3 linked regions of the Canis lupus familiaris genome follow. The protein of the gene in region 2 interacts with the protein of the main gene of each other region in a pairwise test. Links are inferred from orthologs where the notes say so. Each region holds a gene or a part of one and is shown on either strand. Other genes may lie near its edges. The genes, in order: TRIM21, USP15 and MAD1L1.

Evidence for each region.
Region 1: the proteins of USP15 (region 2) and TRIM21 interact in binary tests that used the Homo sapiens proteins (3 or more experiments, as listed by UniProt). The link is inferred for Canis lupus familiaris from reciprocal best matches to the Homo sapiens genes USP15 and TRIM21.
Region 3: the proteins of USP15 (region 2) and MAD1L1 interact in binary tests that used the Homo sapiens proteins (3 or more experiments, as listed by UniProt). The two-hybrid records come from large-scale screens. The link is inferred for Canis lupus familiaris from reciprocal best matches to the Homo sapiens genes USP15 and MAD1L1.

The regions. Positions count from the first base shown.
Region 1 is NC_049242.1:26,907,237-26,910,984, reverse strand, and holds the start of TRIM21 (E3 ubiquitin-protein ligase TRIM21), read left to right. Parts: upstream 1-1,227; 5' UTR 1,228-1,346; intron 1,347-2,358; 5' UTR 2,359-2,405; coding exon 2,406-2,813; intron 2,814-3,300; coding exon 3,301-3,426; intron 3,427-3,748. UniProt on the Homo sapiens protein: E3 ubiquitin-protein ligase whose activity is dependent on E2 enzymes, UBE2D1, UBE2D2, UBE2E1 and UBE2E2.
Region 2 is NC_049231.1:5,982,381-5,986,028, reverse strand, and holds part of USP15 (ubiquitin carboxyl-terminal hydrolase 15), read right to left. Parts: intron 2,011-3,648; coding exon 1,927-2,010; intron 1,837-1,926; coding exon 1,742-1,836; intron 1,642-1,741; coding exon 1,450-1,641; intron 391-1,449; coding exon 275-390; intron 101-274; coding exon 1-100. UniProt on the Homo sapiens protein: Hydrolase that removes conjugated ubiquitin from target proteins and regulates various pathways such as the TGF-beta receptor signaling, NF-kappa-B and RNF41/NRDP1-PRKN pathways.
Region 3 is NC_049227.1:15,032,418-15,036,165, reverse strand, and holds the start of MAD1L1 (mitotic spindle assembly checkpoint protein MAD1), read right to left. Parts: upstream 2,324-3,748; intron 1,061-2,323; 5' UTR 1,048-1,060; coding exon 898-1,047; intron 1-897. Other genes in the region: proline-rich protein 2-like, read left to right, coding at 2,324-3,190. UniProt on the Homo sapiens protein: Component of the spindle-assembly checkpoint that prevents the onset of anaphase until all chromosomes are properly aligned at the metaphase plate.

The sequences.
Region 1 (3,748 bases), on a different chromosome or scaffold from region 2:
GTATACAGGGACAAAAATAAATATGTCTGAGTCGGAAGGAATTGAGAATTCTAGTCTCCTCACCCTTCCTTGTTTCTCCTTCCTCCTCACAGTCTCTGCTTGAGTTGACAGGGCAGCCTGTTATCTCTGGGCTGTCACTAAAATGACGGTCTTCCCTAGACCTTTAACTCTCATGCACCTCTTACTATGTCTCAAGTCATTTTACTCCATTCAGACTCAATGCCCTCTCCTGGAATGTGAGTTTAACATCTCCTAAATCACTAAATCGTTATGTGGCTTAAATATGTAACCTGACACAGTAACAGTATTCACAAGAGTCAAAAGATGGAAGTCACCCAAGTGTCCATTCACAGATGAGTGGATAAACAAAATGCATATACAAACACTGGAACATTATCCAGCCTTTAAAAGGAAGGAAACCCTGTCACATGCTTGTACAACATGGATGAACCTTGAGGACCTTTTAAGTGAAATAAGTCACAAAACAACAAATACTATATGATTCCACTTACGTTGGGGGCACCTAAAGAAGTCAAATTCGTAGAGACAGAAAATTGAATGTAGCTGCTGGGTGCTGAGGGAACATACTGTTTAACAGGCAACAGAATTTCAGTTTGGCAAGATGAAACAAGTCGTATGAGTGGTGCGGATGGGGATACAATGATGTGAATGCATTTAATGCCACTGAACTATATACTTAAAAATTGTTACAATGGTAAATTTTGTTACATATGTTTTACCATAATTTAAAAAAAAAAAAAAAGAAAACCTCAGAAAATCCCTAGCTCAGTGACAAGTACACCGTTGGTGCCTAATAAATGTCAATTCTCTTCTTACCATTCACTGGTATGACACCTGCCTTGGGATCGTGCTGTACATAAATCCCTCACCAGCTGATGTTAAAAGACTATCAAGCCTTTCCTGAAAAGGACTTGTTTCTGGAAGCAGAGGGTGACACGTAAGGGAGAGCCCCAGGCACGTTGTCGCCATCCCACCCTCCCTAACTCCCTGAGAGCAGCTCCCACTCGTGGGCGTCGCCCAGCACGTAGGTGTGGAGCGAGACGACCAGTGTCCGAGGAGGCAGCGTGACCCCTCCACCGTGGATGCGATATTTTCTTGTTTGACCCCGAGGACCTGGGAGGGGACGCGAAGCAAGGACTTGACGCTGCGGAGCTCGGACTTCCTGCCGCCTGGGGCTCCCGAGCTGCCCCGCCTGCTCCCCCGCCCCTCGCGCCTCCCTCTCCTCCCACTCCCCGCCCCTCGGCCCACCCCCTTCGGACACGCCTCGACGGGAAATCGAAAGTGAAATAGGGAGCCTGCCGCCGGCTGCCGAAAGCCCTGAAAAGGTGAGTGACTCGCCCCGACCCGAGTGCCCCCGCCCTGGCTGGGGGACCTCTCTCCCCTGCCCCATCTAGTCCTCGCCCCTGGGGCCTGCAGACCCGGTTCCCCCAGGGCTAGCCCAGCCCCAGCCCCAGTCCCAGCCCCAGTCCCAGCCCCAGCCCCAGCAGTTCCTCCCGGGCTGGCAGCCTGCCTGGGACGGGGCCCCAAATGTGAACGTGACACCCAAGCCCCCGGGGGCGCTGCCCTAAGCGGGGGGCACCGGGGCAGAAACCTAGCCCAGCCCGGAGTGTAGTCCGGGCACTCCCCTCGACACTTCTCCTCTGGGGGTGAGAGGGGGCAGGACAGTTTCAGACGCTAGAAACCTGTGGGTCTGTGCCCCAGAGGCAATGAAGCCAGCTACCAGGTTCCCAGAAGGGAGAGGAGAGCCCAGGGAGTGCTCAGGCACTGTTCATGTGCGCATATAAACATATACAGGTACCCATATGCACACATATACCTGCAGGTATATATACATACAGACAGATATGTAGAAATATATTCTTATGTATATAATCACAGATATAGAAGTAACTCCTGTGATTATTGTGCAGATAATGAAGATATTTCCAAAGCAGGTAGCACCTTCTCTGGCTTATGGAGTGTACAGAGTACATGGTCCCTGTCATACAGATGAGCTGCTCAGCAGCGGACTGGTGACCTGAGAGGGCAGAGAGTGGACAGGAAAAGCCTGGGACAGAGGATGAAGCAGAGAGGGCCATGATGAAAATAGAGTTATAAACAGCTTTATCTCTGAAGTTCTCAACAACATTCAGTTTCTTTGGGGGACTCAGTTTCCCCTTCTGTCTGACTAGGTAAGTGGATGAGACTAGAGAGGAGAAGCTCTTATTATTCAAGTTAATGTTCTGGTGTTGTTTTCACCCCTTCCACTTCACTGTTCCTTGTGTTTTCCTTTGGATTGTTTTTCTTCTCACACAACCCTTCTCTTCTGCTCATTTCCCTCTCTCCTCTCCCCACCAGGGTACCCCAGGATCTCCACAGTGCTGCTTACTAAGAACATCACCCCTATGGCTGCAGCAATGCCCTTGGCAATGATGTGGGAGGAGGTCACATGCCCTATCTGCCTGGATCCTGTAGTGGAGCCTATGAGCATTGACTGTGGCCACAGCTTCTGCCACAAATGCATCTCTGAGGTGGGGAAAGATGGTGGCGGCGTCTGTCCTGTGTGTCAGCACACCTTCTTGCTCCGAAACCTCCGGCCCAATTGGCCACTGGCTAACGTGGTGGACAACCTTAAACAAATTGGCCAGAATGCCAATGAAGTCACACAGAGGGAATGGTGTCAGGTACATGGAGAGAGACTGCACCTGTTCTGTGAGGAAGATGGGAAGATCCTCTGCTGGGTATGTTCCCAGTCCCAGAACCACCGTAACCACAAAACGGTCCCTGTCGAGGAGGCTGCTCAGGAATACCAGGTAAGGACTTAGCACAGAGGCCTGACCAAGTAGAAGGGAGCTGGGTCCGTGCTTGGGGTTTTGTTCTCCAGAGTGAGGGAGGCAAAGTCACCTGTGGAGTTTCAGGGTTGGGAAAAGGAAGGGGTTTCCCACCTTCCAGGTCTAATTGAAGCAGAGAACTGCAAGCTCAGGACAGCTTTCTCATTCCCCAGGACCAGGGAGTACGCTTGGGAAAACGCTGCAAGGATCACACTTCCTTGTGGCCTTCTGGTTAATTAGGAATGAGGAATGCTCCAACTCCACACCACCACCTCCAACAGCGTGGCTGTGTTTTGAAAGAAACCTCAGGCTCTTGCCAAAGTCTTCCCATCCCCAGAATCTCTATCCCAATCAGACTGTAGTCTTCCCTCTTTCTCTGCACTCAAGTTTTTCAAAGAACCAGCATGTCTTCATGGCGCCTCACCCTACTTCTTGGACTGGTCGGGCGCTAACCTACCTTTCTCTGCAGGAGAAGCTTAAGGTGGCATTAAGGAAACTGAGAAAAGAACAAAAGTTGGCTGAGGAGTTGGAAGTGAATACTGCAATGAAGAGAGCAGCCTGGAAGGCAAGTGTTGTGCTCCAAAGGGAATCTCAGGTCAGAAGCCAGGGCAGAGTCCAGGGCCCCAGACTCAAACCCTAAGCATAGCTATGCCCATCTGAGGAGTGATAATATATCTCACTCACCATGAACCAGCTGTCCTCTAGGTCTCTTGATAGAGGTGAATAAAAAGGAGAGAGCTCAGATCAGATAGCAAAATCAAGAGTCTTAGGAGAAGGTGCCATACCCTTCGGAGAGGTACAAGCCATACCCTAAAGCTCCTGCTCCTTAAGCCTAGTCTTAAAACATGACGGCACCTTTGCCTCCATGTCTGGTCAGTGGTCTCTCAGGAGAGATGCCCAATGGCTAGGCCTGTCAG
Region 2 (3,648 bases):
TCTCCTCCAACTGAATCCTCAGACTGACTGTTTTCATTTTCGGAGGGAAGTTCTTGATCCTGGCTGGATTCATCATCTGGCTCATCTGTTTCCATTTCACCTAATTTTAGATATTAGAAATCTTTAAATAAACCCAGAGCTACATTTAAAAGTTATTAATATTAACATTATTTCTCCCAGGCTTGAAGAGATTTTTTAGCTCCTTAACTCCCATCTTTTTTTCTGAGGCAACAATCCAGGTGAAAGGTTTTATAATTTAATAGGGAATTCTTACTTGGTGAGCCTTCTTCATGTATGCCATTTGGGCCATTCCCATTAATATTTTGGTCCTTACAGCAGTGTAGGGATCCTTCAGTTTCTTCAGCTTCAGTAGAAATTTTGACATATCGGCTTAAATAAAATCAGAAATCAAATTTAGTTCTATGAAGGTAAAAACTTAAAGTTTTCTATTCTTTCAGTAAAACAAAAATTTTCAATGGGCACTTAGTAGATTCAAGGATAAATCAAACTTAGGATATAGAACCATAAGTGCAAGTGACTAATCATTTCTGTTTTGGTTGTCTTTATAAAAAGAAAGAAGGTAATTTGTTACTTCCAAGTATTTAACACCTTTCTGTGTTAAATAAGTTTGTGGCAAATAATTTCTTGACTTAGAATTATTATATAAATACCCTCATTTAGATTACTTTTAACTGTATAATGTGATCTTTATATATGGATTATGGGACTGTAATGATTAAAATAGGTATTACTAAATATGCCAGTTACAAAAGATAAAATATAAGGGATCAAATGGCAGTCTGGTTATGTTATAATTCAAATCAAGGTTTTAGGAAGACAAAAAGGGGTTGCCTTAAAATACTATCAACCATGAAAGGTTATCCTTTTATTTTTATTATTTTTTTAAAGATTTATTTATTTAACACAGAGAGAGTGAGAGAGAGGCAGAGACACAGGCAGAGGGAGAAGCAGGCTCCATGCAAGGAGCCCGACGTGGGACTGGATCCCCGGTCTCCAGGATCACACCCTGGACTGCAGGTGGCACCAAACCGCTGCGCCACGGGAGCTGCCCGAAAGTTTATCCTTTTAAATAAAACCATTAGCAGGAGTTCTTGAACTAACAATCTGTATAAAGAAATGAAGCATCCGAAATTTGTTAAAATTTCAGAGTGCATACATGAGAAATTCCTATTTTTTCCAACTGTAAACTTCTAGTTTAAAACAGCTAAAATAATTCATGCTTTCTGGGTTTGCAATTACCTCAGTAATGTGTTTTTACATGGTCAAGAAAGTGAAATAAACTATAATTTGATTTTTAAAATTGCTACCTGTTTAAACAAAGTTGAAATAATACAAGCTTACCAAAATATTCAGATAGTACACCATGTATTTACTTTTATTAACTATTCTATCACTCATTTTGTTAATGTAGAATTGTGTGACACTTACCACATTCTCAAAAGCAGGAGATTATAGAGCTTATCTTCAGTATTATTTCGTGGTACAGCCATAAGAAAAGGCTGGCCAAAAAGTGAAGAACCAGTATGGTGGGTATAACTTGAGTGTCTAAATTTTTCTCTTAGGCAAACAGGAATAATCACATGTTCTGTATCTTCTGTCCTATTGATGTTAATTTCAAACCTGTAAGGACAAAACTGACTGTAAAACTCTGAAAACTTTTATGTTATTCCCTCTGAATTTTTTCCCAAGTAATATTTTGCACAATGAATTTTATACTTACACATAAATATCGTCCCGTTCCATAATACTACTAAGGTTTTCATCCATAGCGAATATTCTGTGAAATCTATGATTGTATATATCAGTAACTATCATCTAAAAGGAAACATATTTCTATTAGGCTGGTTTTACATCACTGAAACACTAAATTCCAACTTATATACTTCAAACCCAGAAACACATTACCTTATCTGCAGGTACTCCTGACAAAGCAGACAATGCTGTACAAAGATCAAGTATGTTTCCAATTTTGGGGACAACCACTTTGTACTAAAAAACAAAAACAAAAAAAGCTGTAATGAATTTATTACTTTGGAAGAAATACTCAGTAGATGAAAATGACCTCATGGTTGCCTCCTCACATTCGCTTGGTATTTGGTTCACAGTGTCCGTCTCCAATCCTATCATTAATCCTGGCTGATAATGTCTTTTTGTTTTTTTAAAAATATTTTATTTATTTATTTATGAGAGACACATAGAGAGAGGCAGAGACACAGGCAGAGGAGAAGCAGGCCCCATGCAGGGAGCCTGATGTGGGACTCAATCCCGGGACTCCAGGATCACACCCTGGGCCAAAGGCAGATGCTTAACCGCTGAGTCACCCAGGCGTCCCCCTGGCTGATAATGTCTATATGGATAATTTATCTTCGCCTTATCGTTCCTTCGCTCTTTGATTCCGAGACCCACACTTACATTCAACTGTAGTTCACTTCTTGCACCTTGTCATAAACTTGCCCCACCTCTGATATCTTAAACCTCTTATCAGGCTACTGACTGACAGCTAATTATTATTCCTGGAAACTCATTTTCCCATTCTTGGCTTGCATTTAGAATTCTAGTTTTAATTCTTAATTTTCTCTGGGTTTACCAGCTTCCTACTGTCTTCACGCCCTTCCATCCAGATCCCACAGGATCCATCACTTCAATACTCCACTGCAAAACGTTTAACTATTTTGTTATTCAATTTTATTCTTGCTATACTTTCTTGGAGCTGTTCAGATATGCTGGAGAAAACTGACCAATTTTAGAGACTGGTTTGCTACAAATCCACAGTGCTTAAATCTTAACAGATTGTTCAACACTAGCCAGAAATTCTGTGCATCCCTTATTTGCTTCTTCTTTCATTTTTCCCAGTAACTATATACAATCTTCACCATTCCTTAGGCTTCCTTATTTTACAATTTCTCCCTTCACTATCAGCAGAATACCAAAAAAAGTAGAGGCTACTGGATAGGAAAATATCCAACTTTGTGTCCCTGAACAAACTTCTAAAAGGTCCTTTTCTCCATCTTTTTTCTACACAGGGAAAGAGAATCAGATGTTACCCTTCCCATCTAAGGCTACCACTAGCATCTATGTTCTGATTCCCATCCTGTTCTACTTCCTTGGGAACCTAACCCAGGAATCATCCTTTATGTCATTTTACCTTGATTCTTACGTAAGCAATGGAATAATCTACTAGTCTCTCAAAAAACCCACAAAAACCAAAAAACAAAATGCAAAAACCCAGTCTCTCATTGCCTTCCCTCTGATAATCCCCCTCTAGTTATCTTCCTTTCTCCTCTGCTTTATAAATATAACCTTGTTAAAAGTAATGTCTATAATGACTATCTTAAATTCTTCACTTTCCATTCACTTATCAATCTACCCCTAGCTTTCTGTCCTCATCTATTTAACCTATTACCAAGGTTGTCAAACTCCTTTAGAGTTTTACCCTTCACCCCCTTCTTGATTCTATATGCTCTCTTTAAAGCAGGTGACAATATATTCTAATTTGCTTTGTCTCAGCCCTGGATGAACCTGCTGTCCTGGTAATATAATGATTAATAATGGCCCCTTTTATTTTTAAAAGAGTTCTAGTTTAGATGATACATTACAGAGTCACCCTAGCCTTAGGGAATCTCATCC
Region 3 (3,748 bases), on a different chromosome or scaffold from region 2:
AGTTGCCAACTTATTTTACCAGTGAGCAAGAATCAAAAACAAAACAAAAACAAAAACAAACAAAAACCACCATCATTTCCAAAAAAGTGCTTTAGGCAAAACACAAACATTAAAAAAACAATTTCAGAATAAAAGTCTTTGCCAAAAAATGGTAGTGAGCAACTCAGCCCACTAAAAAAACAAAAAATATTTGAACATTCAGCAAATGAATGCATAAAAACACAGGAGCATTTCTCTTACCAAATGTTGCCTGGGGCTCCTCAGGGCTCCCAGGGCCACATGACACCACTGGCTCTGTCACAGGCCATTACCAAAGACTGGCTCCAGCTGCACAAGCAGGGGACTGCTGCCTGATGTGGCGGCAGTGCACAGTGGCAGGGGCCAGGCTGCAGACAGCACCTCCTCCTCACATGGACCCAGTGACCCCTGCCCCCATGAGACTGACCCTACAACTCTGTGGAACCTCAAGTCCTCCAGGAGACCTTCATGGTCAATAGTAAGCGTTTCTAAGAACGTGAAATGAGGGACTCCTGGGTGGCTCAGTGGTTGAGTGCCTGCCTTCAGCTCAGTTCGTGATCCCGGAGTCCTGAGATCGAGTCCCACATCTCCCTCTGCCTATGTCTCTGCCTCTCTCGTGAATAAATACTTAAAAGAAAAAAAAGTGAAATGAAGTAAGACTTCTTATAGGAAAACTGTAAAAGCCACATCATGGCAGACTGAGGCCAAAATCTGCAAATGGGTCCCCAAAATCAGAGACCATGACACACCCAATCTTTCTCTTTACCTGGAGAGCCCTCCGCACACAGAGCACTCACCTGGACTACTTGCAACTGGAAAAGGAACTGTCAAGGGCACACATGTTCCACCCGAGACCCCTTCACGCTACACGGCACTCACCTGCATGCTCTGTTGGTACTGCATCTGCAGAGAACCTTGGGCAGGGGTGGAAGCATCCAGTCCAGATCCTGCCTCCACCCGCTGGGAAATGAAGTTGTTCAGAGACCTCAGGGTGGACAGCACAGTGGTGTTTTCCATCAGGTCATCCATGGCCACTTTGCTTCTGGAGGAAAACAGGGAGGGGTGACGGTGAGCCTTTGCAGGCACCATTAGCTCTACCAGAGGTCTAGGCAGGGGCACTTCTGGGTGGCCCCACTCTCCCAATGCTCCCTCAGAATCCTGACAATACTCCAGTGTCACAGCCACATTTTTGAAGTTAATTGGCAGTGTGGACTCATCTGGAAAGTACGGTCACGAGGGTCACTTTGCACAGTTGTTGTGAGGATGACAGCATCCATCATAAGTTGGATGGGGGGGTGCCTGGTGCCATAGTTCATCACTCTGCCTATAACATCACACAGGACATCTCAGGCCACACAACAGGAGATGAGGTCTTTCTACACATATTTCACACACCATGAAAGCGAGGCTTCAGAAAGTTACAGAACAGGCCAGAAGCCAGATCTGTGTGGCTCTAAAGTCCGGTGTGCTCCATAAGCCAGGGCACAGAGGGCAGAGCACAAGCACCCCCCGGGCATTGGTTAGGCATCTGCCTTCTGCTCAGGTCTTGATCCCAGGGTTCTGGAATGGAGCCTTGCAGGGTGGGCTCCCTCCTCAGCGGGGAGTCTGCTTCTCCCTCTGCCCCTCCCTGCCTTGTCCTCTCTCTCTTGCTCTCTAATAAATAATTAAAATATTTTTAAAAAAAGAAAAGAAAAGAAAAGAAAACCAACTCCAAACCTGCATCCCCAAACCTGTGCTGACGGTGGCCTCACACCTGCCAACCAGTGTGTAGGAAGCATCTCAGGTGCAGTTAACAAGCAAAGGCACCTCTTAGGTAAAAGGCCAGCTCACCGGGACTTCTCTGAGCGTTAGATTGAAAACACCTCCCCACGTTCCCCCCAGAGGAGGAAAGAAAGTGAGGAATCTTAGTTTGACTCTGAATTTCCGTTTGGGGAGAACCTTGGCCCTATGCACACAGAGCCCTCCTCTGTAGGCCATGTTTTCACCCCAGACAACACAGCTGTCCTCTCGACCTCGCAATCACACTGCATGTGGAAACCTGGAGTAGAAGGCGGAACAGGACATGCAAGCACAGAGTGCTGAGGGCCGCGGCAGATGCAGGCCCGAGCTGCACTGGACAGCAGAGGTCCACTCTAGAAAGCAAACCCTTCCGAACGGGGCCATACTCTCCGACCGGTGATGGGAAGTCAAGCTGGGAAGTCCTGGTCCGGAGAGGCGCCCCTGTAAGAGCTGATGCGTGTAACTCCCCCCGGAACGAAGAGCGCACACGCTTTCAACCGCCTGGAACTAAGGCGCTGCACTGGGGATGCGCTTAGGCAGTCCTCAAACTCCGTCCTCTTTACCCGAGAGACTCCAATCCTCAACCCAACCGCGGAAACCCAAGCGCTGCAAATCACACCCCTGGGCTGCCCTTCCTGGCCTGGGCACTACTCGGGGCGGGGGGGCCCTGCCGCCCCGCTGCAAACCCCGGCTCCCAGGCGGCTCTGCCGGACCCCAGGCGCCCGGTGGGGTCTGCCCGGTCCCGCCCCACGGCCCCGCTCTGACCCCGCTCCGACCCGGGCCACGCTACGACCCCTGGCCCCCTATGACCCCGCTCGGACCTCGACCTCGACCTCGACCTCGACCCCGGCCCCGCCCTGACCCCGCTCCGACCCCCGCTCCGACCCCCGCTCCGACCCCGCTCCGCACCGCCGCCGCCGAAGCCGGCTCGAGCTCCGGTCTGGATCCGAGGGAACGAGCACGGCGGGGAGAGACCAGCGGGCAGGGGGCCGGGCCCGCCTCGGATATCCGCCCACCGGCGACCCCGGCGCCCGGCCACTCACCTCAGCCCCAGCCCCGGCAGCTCGCCGCCGCTGCCGCTCAGATCTCCCTCCTCGGCGTCCGAGCCCGCGTATCGCGAGACGTGCCGCCGCGCTCTCGCGAGACCTGGGCGGCCGACCGTGAAGCCCCGGGCCCGAGCGCCGCCCGGGTCCTGCAGCTCCGCGTGCGCCCCAGAGCCGCCCGCCCCGGGACACCGCACTCGGACTCTCACCAGAGGCCGGCCCGCGGGTCTGTGGGGGGGCCCGCCTCCCGCAACGGGACGGACCTCCACTGGGGCAGTCGCTCGCGCTGTATTGTGCGGAGTAGCACCGCCCAACGGTGGCCTCCTCGGGCCAAACTTTCCTGTTCTTGACAACTCCCAAAATTCTACTACAGCGTGTGTTAGCTTGAATTAGTACGTCTTTCCTTTCCTCGGGATCACTGGAAAAGCAAAATACTCGGCTATCCTCCCAGGGCCCCGTGAGCTCAGACGGCCTGAGACCCTCATCCAGTAACGGGGCTCTCACTCCCTTCCGAACCTCCTCCTCCCTGAACCCCCGCGCCCCGCCTGAGCAGTCGGTCTGGAGGGTCTGCACTGTGCCCCGAAGGTTTGCACACACTGCCCCCCACTCAGGGTCTGGAGGGCCTGCACACACCACCCACCCAGTCTGCAGGGTCTGCACATACACCCACACCCGGAGTCTGGAGGGCCTGCATATACGCACACCCAAGGGTCTACAGGGTCTGCACATAGGCCCACACCCAGAGTCTGGAGGGCCTGCATATATGCACACCCAAGGGTCTGGAGGGTCTGCACACACCACCCACCCACAGCCTAGAGGGTCTGTGCACAACACTCACCCACAGTCTGGAGGGTCTGCACATATCCCTCCTCCCAGGGTCTGAAGGCCCTTCCCCACGTCAACCACCC